Linked DNA regions of Schizosaccharomyces pombe. The gene in region 3 interacts genetically with the main gene of each other region. Each region holds a gene or a part of one and is shown on either strand. Other genes may lie near its edges. The genes, in order: rec7, ynd1 and qcr8.

The links.
Region 1: mutations in qcr8 (region 3) and rec7 together harm fitness less than expected from each alone (positive genetic interaction), as found in Schizosaccharomyces pombe (one large-scale study listed by BioGRID).
Region 2: mutations in qcr8 (region 3) and ynd1 together harm fitness less than expected from each alone (positive genetic interaction), as found in Schizosaccharomyces pombe (one large-scale study listed by BioGRID).

The regions. Positions count from the first base shown.
Region 1 is NC_003421.2:1,547,312-1,551,069, forward strand, and holds the start of rec7 (meiotic recombination protein Rec7), read right to left. Parts: upstream 1,759-3,758; coding exon 1,606-1,758; exon of another isoform or gene 1,549-1,605; coding exon 1,435-1,548; exon of another isoform or gene 1,330-1,434; coding exon 577-1,329; 3' UTR 1-576. Other genes in the region: tol1 (3'(2'),5'-bisphosphate nucleotidase/inositol-1,4-bisphosphate 1-phosphatase), read left to right, coding at 2,693-3,754. UniProt on the Schizosaccharomyces pombe protein: May be involved primarily in the early steps of meiotic recombination.
Region 2 is NC_003421.2:1,460,806-1,464,563, forward strand, and holds the start of ynd1 (nucleoside diphosphatase Ynd1), read right to left. Parts: upstream 1,702-3,758; 5' UTR 1,423-1,701; coding exon 1-1,422. Other genes in the region: elongator complex subunit Elp4, read right to left, coding at 2,448-3,533. UniProt on the Schizosaccharomyces pombe protein: Catalyzes the hydrolysis of phosphoanhydride bonds of nucleoside tri- and di-phosphates. Required for Golgi glycosylation and cell wall integrity. Involved in N-mannosylation of proteins in Golgi.
Region 3 is NC_003424.3:4,765,154-4,768,628, reverse strand, and holds qcr8 (ubiquinol-cytochrome-c reductase complex subunit 7), read right to left. Parts: upstream 1,574-3,475; 5' UTR 1,520-1,573; coding exon 1,488-1,519; intron 1,299-1,487; coding exon 1,281-1,298; intron 1,236-1,280; coding exon 1,022-1,235; intron 919-1,021; coding exon 904-918; 3' UTR 723-903; downstream 1-722. Other genes in the region: exonuclease Rex3, read left to right, coding at 1-722; prohibitin Phb1, read left to right, coding at 1,815-2,663; ypa2 (serine/threonine-protein phosphatase 2A activator 2), read right to left, coding at 3,122-3,475.

The DNA.
Region 1 (3,758 bases), on a different chromosome or scaffold from region 3:
TGACCATTTTCGTACTTAATGTCATGAACTCCTCTCGTGGATTGTTAAGTCAATTATCAAAACCAACCACCAACTCAATTTTAACCGTTGTAACCTGACCCATTATTAACACTAGTATTCATGCTGTACTTGCGGCAATTCCCCCATCAAAAAGTTTTCAGAGTTGTCTTTTGATACCGATTATGTGTCGTGGTGGAGGCTTACACCCCAAGGATCGGAACGGGATCTTCTCAATTTGATTTTAATGCTCTGCATGGACAAGCCTAAGGGAAAAGAGTCATGCAACAAGTAGAGAAATTTATTTCAACATTGTTGTGTTGGCGGTTTCTGTTTGCTAATCCTCAGCAACGATCATATGCAGTTGAGATCTCGACCAACTTTTCGTTAAATAATGTCAAAATTTGCAACAAATGTTTTATCACGGTACTCGAAGAATGTGAACTTAATGAAGTTTCTCATTTGGTTGCCAAATTGTGGTCACACATCAATTTTGTCGAAATAACCATTCCGATCCTGATTTCGTTCCATTTTTACTACTTTTTTAAATTTGGGATTAAGTTGAATTGGTCTGTCTTCCTACATCTTGTTCCATACCCGTTCCAAACTTTGACATAATTGGATGAAGCTGTCTTGTTTTAGATAGAATAATACCTTGGAGCGTAATTGCTTTTCCTCTTCAGTAAGTTCTGTTGGTAGGATTTGTGAAGTCGTTGGGGGTGATGGAATCAAATTTGCGTATGCTTGGTTCTCCGGTTGAGCAACCCACGAAGCCTGTGTCTGAGAGTTCAGCGGCGTAGCAGCAATAATGGGGTATTGTGAGTTTGCACCGTAAGAGTAGGCATTACGATTGGGATTAAAAGGTGATGAAGTTATCACCACGTTTTCATCCCAAGTGGGTTGTTGTGACGCAGTAATACTTTCAATTGATGTATCACTTCGAAGGGGCATTTGGGTCATGCCCGCATCCCCGCGGAATCGCTTAAGCGGTGGTGTATTGGAGAAGATTTCAGCATTTGGCATGACATGCTGCAGTGGTGCTGGATTGACATAGTTTGTGCTATTGTTCACAGCAGTTGTTGCTGTTTGGGTCATGGGGATATAACTCGGTTGTAATAAAAGATTTGGCTGTTGCGCCGATGACTTGTTATATGCATTGTTCATCAACGAAAGTTCCTGTGAGTTATTAGATTGACTTTGGGAGTTATTGAATTGCTTCTTCTCAGAGGAAGACTTTGCATCTTTGAACACCAGGCCTAGCTTCTCAAATTCAACTTTGGCTTTCATATAATGCACGTCAGATGGGAATTTCACTTGAAATCTTTTCATCACCTAAATTTATTAACAACAAAATACGCTTCATCAACACTCCATTTTTTTTTTTAAAAAAAGAGGCCTCAATGTGATTTTGAATAAATCTGCTTTTGTTTTACTTACATTATTAGTGAAAGCACGAATATTCATACACGGAGCGCGTGAAAGCAGAGTTAGACATTTTTCCTTCGTTCCCGGTATCAATTGGTGCCAGAGATCTAACAAGTTTATACTTTGCTGTTTGTTTGTTAAAAATATTGAATTTTTCTAGCAATATGGTTTCATGTCGCGTACAATTAATTCTTCGTGTTGACGAATTTGAAGCAATCCAGACGTTAATGAGAGTGTAAAACCTCCATCTGAATAATGTGACCAGTTGATATGGGAGGAATCTGTAGTATACGAATCCTCAGCTACAGAGTACTTAACAATTGGGAAAATGTTCATGTTTGTTTATGTTTGAATATGAGAAGACGCGTTAGACTGAACCTCATTTATCTGATAACGCAGTACGTTCCGTCACGGTGTATTACTTTTGTTTACATTTATGAGTTGACCTGAAAACGACTAGACTTTATGGAATGTAAGTCTTGTTATCACAATATATTACATATGATTGTAATTTGCCATAAGGAAACTATTTCTTCAATCTGTATTGAGGAATATCTGATTGTTCATTAATTTCTCAAGTCTCTTCAAACAACAGTATTTTGAGAGAAAGGAAATTTTATGAGCAGTTTCTTCTTTTACTAATCAATCCCTTTAAAATATTTTTATGCCTTCATTTCATCCTTGGTATCTACACTTATATAAAAATTTTAGGCATATTTGCCTGTTAAAGGGAAACGCAAGATACGGACTTGCACTGCTTTTAAATTATGCGTTTTTTCCATCAGAATGATATTTTTTTTCCTTAATATTATATTTCATCCTTTCTCCATAGGTTGGAAGGGTTGGCGAACTGCTTTGCCAATACCCAGACTTTAGTAGTGTCGTTTGTATAATTAATGAAAACCTAAAATGTGGACATGGAGAAACCTGTTTTAAAATATTAACATGCTCTTTTCACAATAGAAACTACATAATCATTATTGTTTAATAAAAGTTAGCATAACCTGCGATTTTACAAAAAAAAAAGGTCTTTTAGTCAGAAAAAATGAAACTCTTTCTCGTTTCATAACAATTTTTTAGTTCTTTCTTCTATTTGAACAATATTTTTGGTTAAATGTGGAAACGTCAATTAAACACCGTATATGCTGATTTCATATTCTTCGCACTTCCACTGCCCAGGTTTACAAAAATTTCCAAACTCCGTGTTAACAGGAAATTTGGTGCTAAAATCATACCTCCATTAATAAATAACATTAGAAAATTATTTACCATGAGCTTTGATGCCGAAAAACAATTAGCTATTGCTGCTGTGCGCAGAGCTAGCTATTTGACCGAAAAAGTGTTTAATCAACTTATCAAGGAGAAGAGTGCTGCTGGGGCACTTACTAAAGATGATAAATCACCTGTGACTATTGGCGATTTTGGTGCTCAAGCTATCGTAATCTCTATGTTAAAAGATGCATTTCCCAATGATCCAATTGTTGGCGAAGAGGATTCCGACTTTTTGAGAGAAAACACCCAAACCTGCTCTCGTGTTTGGGAATTAGTTCAAGAAACTATCCAACATGCTACTGAATACAAAGAGCTTGGTCAAATCAAGTCAGCTGAAGAAATGATGAGCATTATTGACCAAGGATCATATCACGGTGGTCGCAATGGTCGTATGTGGACTTTGGATCCCATTGATGGAACTAAAGGATTTCTACGTGGTGCCCAGTATGCTATTTGTTTAGCTTTGATTGAGAATGGAAAACCTGTGGTAAGTGCCATTGGATGCCCTAATCTTCCATATGACTTTAATCAGCCCGAGACAAGTCCCAAAGGTATCATAATGTCCGCTGTTCGTAACCATGGTTGCTTCCAGTATTCTCTCCATAACGAAAAATTAGAACCAGTTCAAGTGCACATGCAAGATGTTCAAAACACCAAGGATTCAAAATTTTGCGAAGGAGTAGAGGCTGGTCATTCAATGCAAGGAACTCAAGAAGAAATTGCAAAGTACTTAGGGATTACTCGTGGACCTACCAAGATGGATTCTCAAGCCAAATACGCTAGTCTTGCTCGTGGTGATGGTGACATCTACCTTCGTTTACCAACCAAAATGACATTTGAAGAAAAAATTTGGGATCATGCTGGTGGTTCTCTTCTTGTTGAAGAGGCTGGTGGTGTTGTTTCTGATATGTTTGGCAAACCTTTGGACTTTGGTGTAGGAAGAACTCTTAAGAACAATAACGGTGTTATAGCCGCCTACAAAGGTATTTTTGAAAAGGTAATTGAAGCTACTGCAGCTGTAACATCTAAAGACCCTCACTTTCAAAAGGTCGCCCAATAATCTG
Region 2 (3,758 bases), on a different chromosome or scaffold from region 3:
AATAAAGAACAATTTATTAGGAAATAACCTCATCCAATGTTTTGAAGGGGATGCGATTAGCTTTCCGTATGGGTCCATATAATAATTAGCATATTCCGGTTTTGCTAGAAGTTGCTGATTTGATGCATAAAGCAATACTTGGCCTAAGGTCCAGCTCACTTCGGTGCGTTCTATTTTTTCTAAACTCGTGAATGGAGAATGGTACGCAGGAATTACCGAGAGCCCATCCTTTGCATCATTACTACTTGTATTTGACTTGGGAACGTCGAATCCTTCATGAAGGACATTCAACGCCCATGATGCTTTAAAACAAAGCTTTTCAAGCTTGTTTTCATCAGTACTTGGAGTCAGCTCTTTATTATAAAGACGGGAAAGCATGGTTTCCCACTCTGTACCACAATACTCGTCAACTTTTTTGTAAAAATTAGGGAAATGATAGCTACCGCCCATATCAAACACATCATTAGTCGTATACCAAAATTCCGAGACCCCAACAAATTCAGTATTTGCAAAATCAACAGGAGGAATAGATATTCCATCAAAGTTACAAGGGTCCATGGAGCATGGCTTGTCTTTATTTAATAGATTGTAAGTCAGTTTCAAGCATTGTTTCAAATCTCCAGTACCGGCAAATTCGATCCCATCGATATCATAAGTTCGTCCACGCAAGGAACACGGATCGCTTAAAGTGTTGCCAACTTTTCCGTTTTCGCTTTCTATTAACAGTCCCAAATACCTGCGGTAAGCTTCATTAGCGCCAAAACCGAGCCAGGTAGTAACAAACAAAGGATATTCCAATTGCTGACCATTTTGTAGTCCTATGTGAACGGTCGAAATACTATCCTTGTAATTTTTGAGCTGAGATGGGGGAAGTTCAAAAGCAATTTGCACACTCGCACCGCCCATATCTAAAAAACCAACCGTTGACGTATCTTTTTCTTCAAGTGTCTTAAGGAGATAGTTCGTAGCTAGCCAACCATACATACCTTCAGCTTTGCCATCAATTACACGGATTGAATTTGAGCAATTAGGTATGTCGAAATCGTAATTCTTTTTAATATATCTACAAGCATGCGAAAGTATTTTGTTTTGGGCATCAACGCCCAGTAAACGCATACCAGCTGTAGCACTTAGGAAAACCGGAGTTTCTTTATGTACATCTTTGGGAATAGCATGAGCAGCAAAATCCAGGAGTTCTTTCAAATGCTTCTTCCCTACATGCTTAGGGTTATTGGCAAAGGAAGAAATTCCAGGTTGAACCTTTAAAGACCATTTACCACCATCCCCAATCCCTGTCTCGATTAATGGTAATTTTTTTACTTTATCACTTAAAGAGGAATCGGTATCATAGTCCCAAGAATAAATTAGAAGTCTTGAACCACTAGATCCAGCGTCGATGAAAATTCCATACTTTCGAACCATTTTTAGCCACCTGCACTTATTTTTCTTAACAAAATGTCTCTTTGTCTATAAGACTGGATATTAAATAACTTCGACTCTGAAGATGGATATTTTCATCAAACCAGCCCAATTTGCCTTTTGTTTGTTGATGGTTGAAAGCGCACTATGGCGATGTGAACAATTTCAATATGGCATATGTTCCCAAGATATACATCAATAAAATTCAGTTAAATATATGTATCTGTCTTATCAATGAACCTCTATTTAACTTAATTGAAACATTGAATGAACGTTTGTAGTGGATTATGAACATTCAACTCAATGTTTAACAACTAGCGAATGTATAGGTAGCACATTTTTAGGTGGTAAATCACTATATAGTGAACTCTGTCAAAATGCAAAAAAAGTAAATTGAGACGAATTTAAGGACCCATTCATACGGACTATTGGAATAATCACATTAATTTTGGTCACTTGACTTAAAAGATAATGCGACTAGAATTAAAGAGAAAAATCGAATACGCGAAAACTTTTTGATTTGTCTCTTTAATTTGCTTAGATGTCAAATACTGTTAGTACCAACAGATTGACAATGTTTTGATAACAATCATCAACAATTTACTTCAGAACTGTTTTAATAGAGAAAATAATTGTATCCTTCAAATTTCAACGGTTTAACACTGTTTAAGATTTAAAATGTCATTTACTTACAAGTATTTCATGCACTTTGCTTTAAGATCACAGTAACGGTTCTTCGTAGAGATATTTGACGGCTTTCAGTTCGCATTCTATATTAACTTGTGTTTTAAAGTTTTGATTGAGAGAACGTTTATCCCATTTGACGAACATTTAGATAATTGATCAGTTATCTAGACGGGAGAAATGAAAAATATTTAAACTCGTATGAACAATAAATAACACAAATGCAATGCATCCAAAAAAAATTATAAAATCCATTTACAAACCATAACCATATCACATAACACGAAAACGAGTAGAATTTTAATCCAATTCAATACTCAGAAACTTAGAGGTTTTTTAATTGTCTAAAAATCCAAAGATTTAACAGGCTGTTTTTGAGGATTCGTGTTTGAAATCTTCGTATCCTTTTGCTCATCATCCAGTGGAGGAAGGACCCATGGTTCAATGGTAAATCTTCTTTTCGATACAGTAAATGAGAGGTCTCCAGCTTCATTAGAGTTTGCATGATTGGTAAATGGAAGTGCTAAGGGAAGCTTATGGATACGGAAAAGTCCTAATGGTTGTGTAACTAAACCGTTAACAGTTTCTTTGACCGGGAAAGGATGCAAAGAGAATACGGCGGATGCAAGGTTTTCTAGCCAAAAAATTTGCTCGCAATCTCTTGAAAACAAAGTAGAAGGAACTGAACACATACATATCAAGTGCACCGAAGTAGTGCATTTGATGAGCGATGAAAGTGTGTGAATAAATCTTATGAAATGCTGCGGATGAGTAGCACGGATAGAATAGAAGGCTGGGGACAAAATGGATGGAAGAACTAACCTGCATACCGTACCTGGAGTCAGAGTAGATAAGAATCTCGTTAGACTTTCAATGACAGGGGCGTAAGGATTAGACCCTGTTTCCAAAGGGAATGGAGAAACAGCGTATTTCATATCGCTTTTCACTATCAAATTCTTTGACAAATCAAAGGAGTGAGTATAGCCAGGAGGAATCATATCAAGGGTCGGTGCCTTGGTTTTGGAGACTTGTTCATACCTCCAGGCAATTTTCATTCTTTCTTGCTGGGGATTTTTAGAGGGAGGAGAAGAATGATTATCCTCTCCAGCTGAATTTTCGTTTTTATTAGGCCGGTCGCTGTCGCCTGGAAGTTGACGAAACCACATCTCTCCAATAGATGGACCAAGCCAAATAACATGGTCCTGTTTAAGGCCTTCCGCTGCAAAAAATTTAAGTAGCACAGAAGCATAATCCATCGAATCTTCCTCTATAACCAGCAAACTTTTCATTGGAATGCCGCCAGACAAATAGTAGTCAAAAGAAGAACTCCCAGAGCTTGTAATCCATCTAGCATCCTTTGAAGATAGTCTAACGCCTGTCGGCAAGTTTGTTGGTGCTATTTGAGGTGCTGCTTTCCTTTTGAACGACATCAATACTTATTTCGATTGGTGTACGTGGAATAGCAAATTGGATGGAAAGGTTAACGCGACGCAAATTTGCAGCACACATTTAAGCATCATCAGTCAGAAAACAAAGAAATTCAGCGTTGCGATTGAGAAAATAAAAAATTGTTGACTAAAGTTAATCATTCAATAAAAATACCTTTTAGATAAATTTTGTTGAACTAATAATAAAATTTCACTAGTGGGCGCATT
Region 3 (3,475 bases):
GATGTGGTACACGGTTTGCGGATCCTCGAGGACCATGTACATATCATTGGGGAAAACTGTTTCGTGAAAAGCAAGGGGGGGAGAAGATTCGTACATACACTTGCTGTGGTGTAAAAGAGGGCGATTCGTCTGGTTGTATTATAGAAGACAACCATGTGTTCAAATACCGACATCTTCCGTATCTTGCTAGCGTTCATCCATTTTCCTACTTACCAGACAGTACAAATAGCAAGCAATTAAGTCATTGCGCGTTAGATTGTGAACTATGCTACACTACGAACGGGATGGAATTGGCTCGTTTGACGGTGGTAGCAAAGGAAAGCATTATTATGGATGTGTTTATAAAGCCTAAAGGCAAAATTTTGAGTCTCAATACTCGATTTAGCGGGATACATGATGCCAAAGAATTAGAATCAGGAATTACCATGGATCAAATGTATATTAAAATAAAGGAACTTGGCATGAATAAAAATACAATTTTAATAGGACATGGTTTAGAAAACGATTTGAATGCGATGAGGCTTATTCACAAACGTGTCATAGATACTGCTCTTCTATTTACGCATGCCAGAGGCCCGCCGTTTAGATATTCCTTAAAATATTTGACTAAAAAATATCTGGGAACAACAATACAAACTTCTACACACGATAGCGAAGAAGACGCTGTTTCAGCATTACAACTTGTCTTTTATAAGACAAAATCAAATGAAAGTCAAAACTAAGAGTAATAATGTTTTCAAATTCAAGAGATAGATCATATCACAAAGTAATTTTGTTGGATATATAGATTTCTGATACTAAGCATAATGAGAGGAGAGAGATAGTAATTGTAAACCCAATAAGGAAAGGGTAGGGAAGAATTTTGTAAATCCTTCTACCAAAATGAATACTTCATTCTCATCATTATTCCTCCACCAACTAAACCACATATTAGTAAAATGACAATTATTGACACAATTTAGAAGTATAGAAAAATGCTGCAAACCATAGCTGCTTATCGATTCTTCAGTCATTAACTTACGTGTCTTCCATGTTTGGAATTGAGGAATTCATTACGCTCCTTCCCCCAACAGTAAATATAGTAAGCTATTCCAAACGGAATTGCTACGTATAGACCTTCAGTCATGACGCGACGAAACATATTTTGCGTAGAAGTTTTGAAGAAGCCGGCCATTGGTCTCTGTTGAAATGGGGAAAGGGAATATGTTATGATTCCTTTTTGTTTAGGTCCACCTCTTATTAAAGTAAGTAAAAATGTATCAAATTGTTATAGCACTTACAGATGGCCCCACCATCCTCTATTCATGTGTTAGTATAAATAAAAACGTTCAATGATATTCTCAGCAGCTATTTGAATGTATATAACTTCGCTGACGAAAATGGCTTTACGAAATAAACACCAATTGTGTCCACCGTCTCACGCTATAAGCGTCAAAGAAAAGTCATATAACCCATTATAAACAGAAACTGCTTTAAGTTGCACTTACAAATAAGTTTTTCCTCCAGCAGCACCACCCATTTTGTTAAAACAATAATATATTGATGATTGCCGTTACAAAGTCAGATGTTTGTTAAGGGTAAGTGTGCGGGTCTGCTAGACCAATAATAATTCAGACGTTTACAAATTCTTGGTTTTTTATTCAAGATTTTTATTTAGTTTTACTATTAAAATTCTAAATAATAAGATCATGTATTTATTAATCATGAATATAGATTTTCCTAGAGGTTGCAGTTAAGTCATACTTAGTCTTGCTCAAACGGACTTCCCTTTCAGTTTGGTCTTTTAGTCCAGCGCTCAACGTACTATTAAAGAGATGGCTGTAGTACTGGAGAGAGTTGCACGTTATGCAATACCAATAGGTATTGGATTTACTCTATTACAATCTTCGATTTACGATGTACCGGGGGGAAAAAGAGCAGTTTTGTTTGACCGTCTGTCGGGTGTGCAGAAACAGGTTGTTCAGGAGGGCACACACTTTTTGATTCCATGGTTACAAAAGGCAATTGTTTATGATGTACGCACACGTCCACGAAATATCGCAACTACTACGGGTAGTAAAGATTTACAGATGGTTTCTTTAACATTGCGTGTATTACACCGTCCCGAAGTTGGAATGCTTCCTCAAATTTACCAAAATTTAGGCTTAGATTATGATGAGCGTGTCTTACCTTCTATTGGAAACGAAATTTTAAAATCCGTAGTTGCTCAGTTTGATGCAGCAGAGCTCATTACTCAAAGAGAAGTAGTTTCTGCCAAAATTCGCCAAGAACTAGTTCAACGAGCTACCGAATTTGGAATTCGGTTGGAAGATGTATCCATTACTCATATGACTTTTGGAAAAGAATTTACGAAAGCCGTAGAGAGAAAACAAATTGCTCAACAAGAAGCCGAGCGTGCTAGATTTTTAGTAGAACAATCCGAACAAGAGCGACAAGCTAATGTTATTCGCGCTGAGGGTGAAGCAGAAGCGGCTGATATTGTTTCCAAAGCACTTGATAAAGCCGGTGGCGCTTTAATCCAAATTCGTCGTCTCGAGACAAGTAAAGAGGTGGCTACTGCACTTGCTAATAAAGGTGCACAGGTCACTTATCTTCCCTTTGGAGCTGGTTCTAATGCCCAAAGTTCCAGTGGTTCTGGGTTGCTTCTTAATGTAAATCCTTAATTCATTCCATGTATCTGCTTCTAGCAGCAAATTCATAAGGTTTATTCGAGCTCCCCTAAACATATCAGCTTTATCTTATTATCCCTTTAAAATTAAAGAGATGTTATATAAAAGTTGTACTTTTCCACGCATTATGATTTTGACAAATTTGGGTTCTTAACGAAAATAAATATTTCCAAATTTTTTTATTTCAGAACTCAAAATTATGATTTGTCACCTTATTTTTAAAACGACAATTATTTTGGGTTTTGTGCTGATGAAATGGCTATATTAATGCTGCTAAAATTAGGGTTGATTGTTTATGTAGAGTTTTTTTAGCATAATGAAATAAACAAATATGCTGTACTGTTGGTAATTTTATTGACTTTAGATATTACTTTTAAAGTAAACAGACAAATATGGGTATCGCATAAATTCGTGAAGATTCGTTAAAAACGCCTTTTTTCCCTCGAGAATTTTTAATCAAACGGAATCCTACTTCCATTATTTTTGGCAGCAGAGATCGCACTTGGTATCTTGATGCCACAACAGTCAGCATAATGAGAATGAACATGTGTCACCTCAGAATCATCACCGTCTTGGGGAGCAGGAGACATCCCAGGTGAAGCTGGGATTAAATGGCCAAAAAGATAGTGCTGCATTATAGGAAGTTTACCCAAAACTTCTGCTCTATACATTTTTATCATGCCTTCGTTGACTTTAGACCAAGTCTTTACGGCAGAAATATCGTCAATCATTGGAGAATGGAAACGTAGTGAAACAGAAGGCTTCAACTTATTTAAAAAGTAAACATAACCTAAGTACATATAATC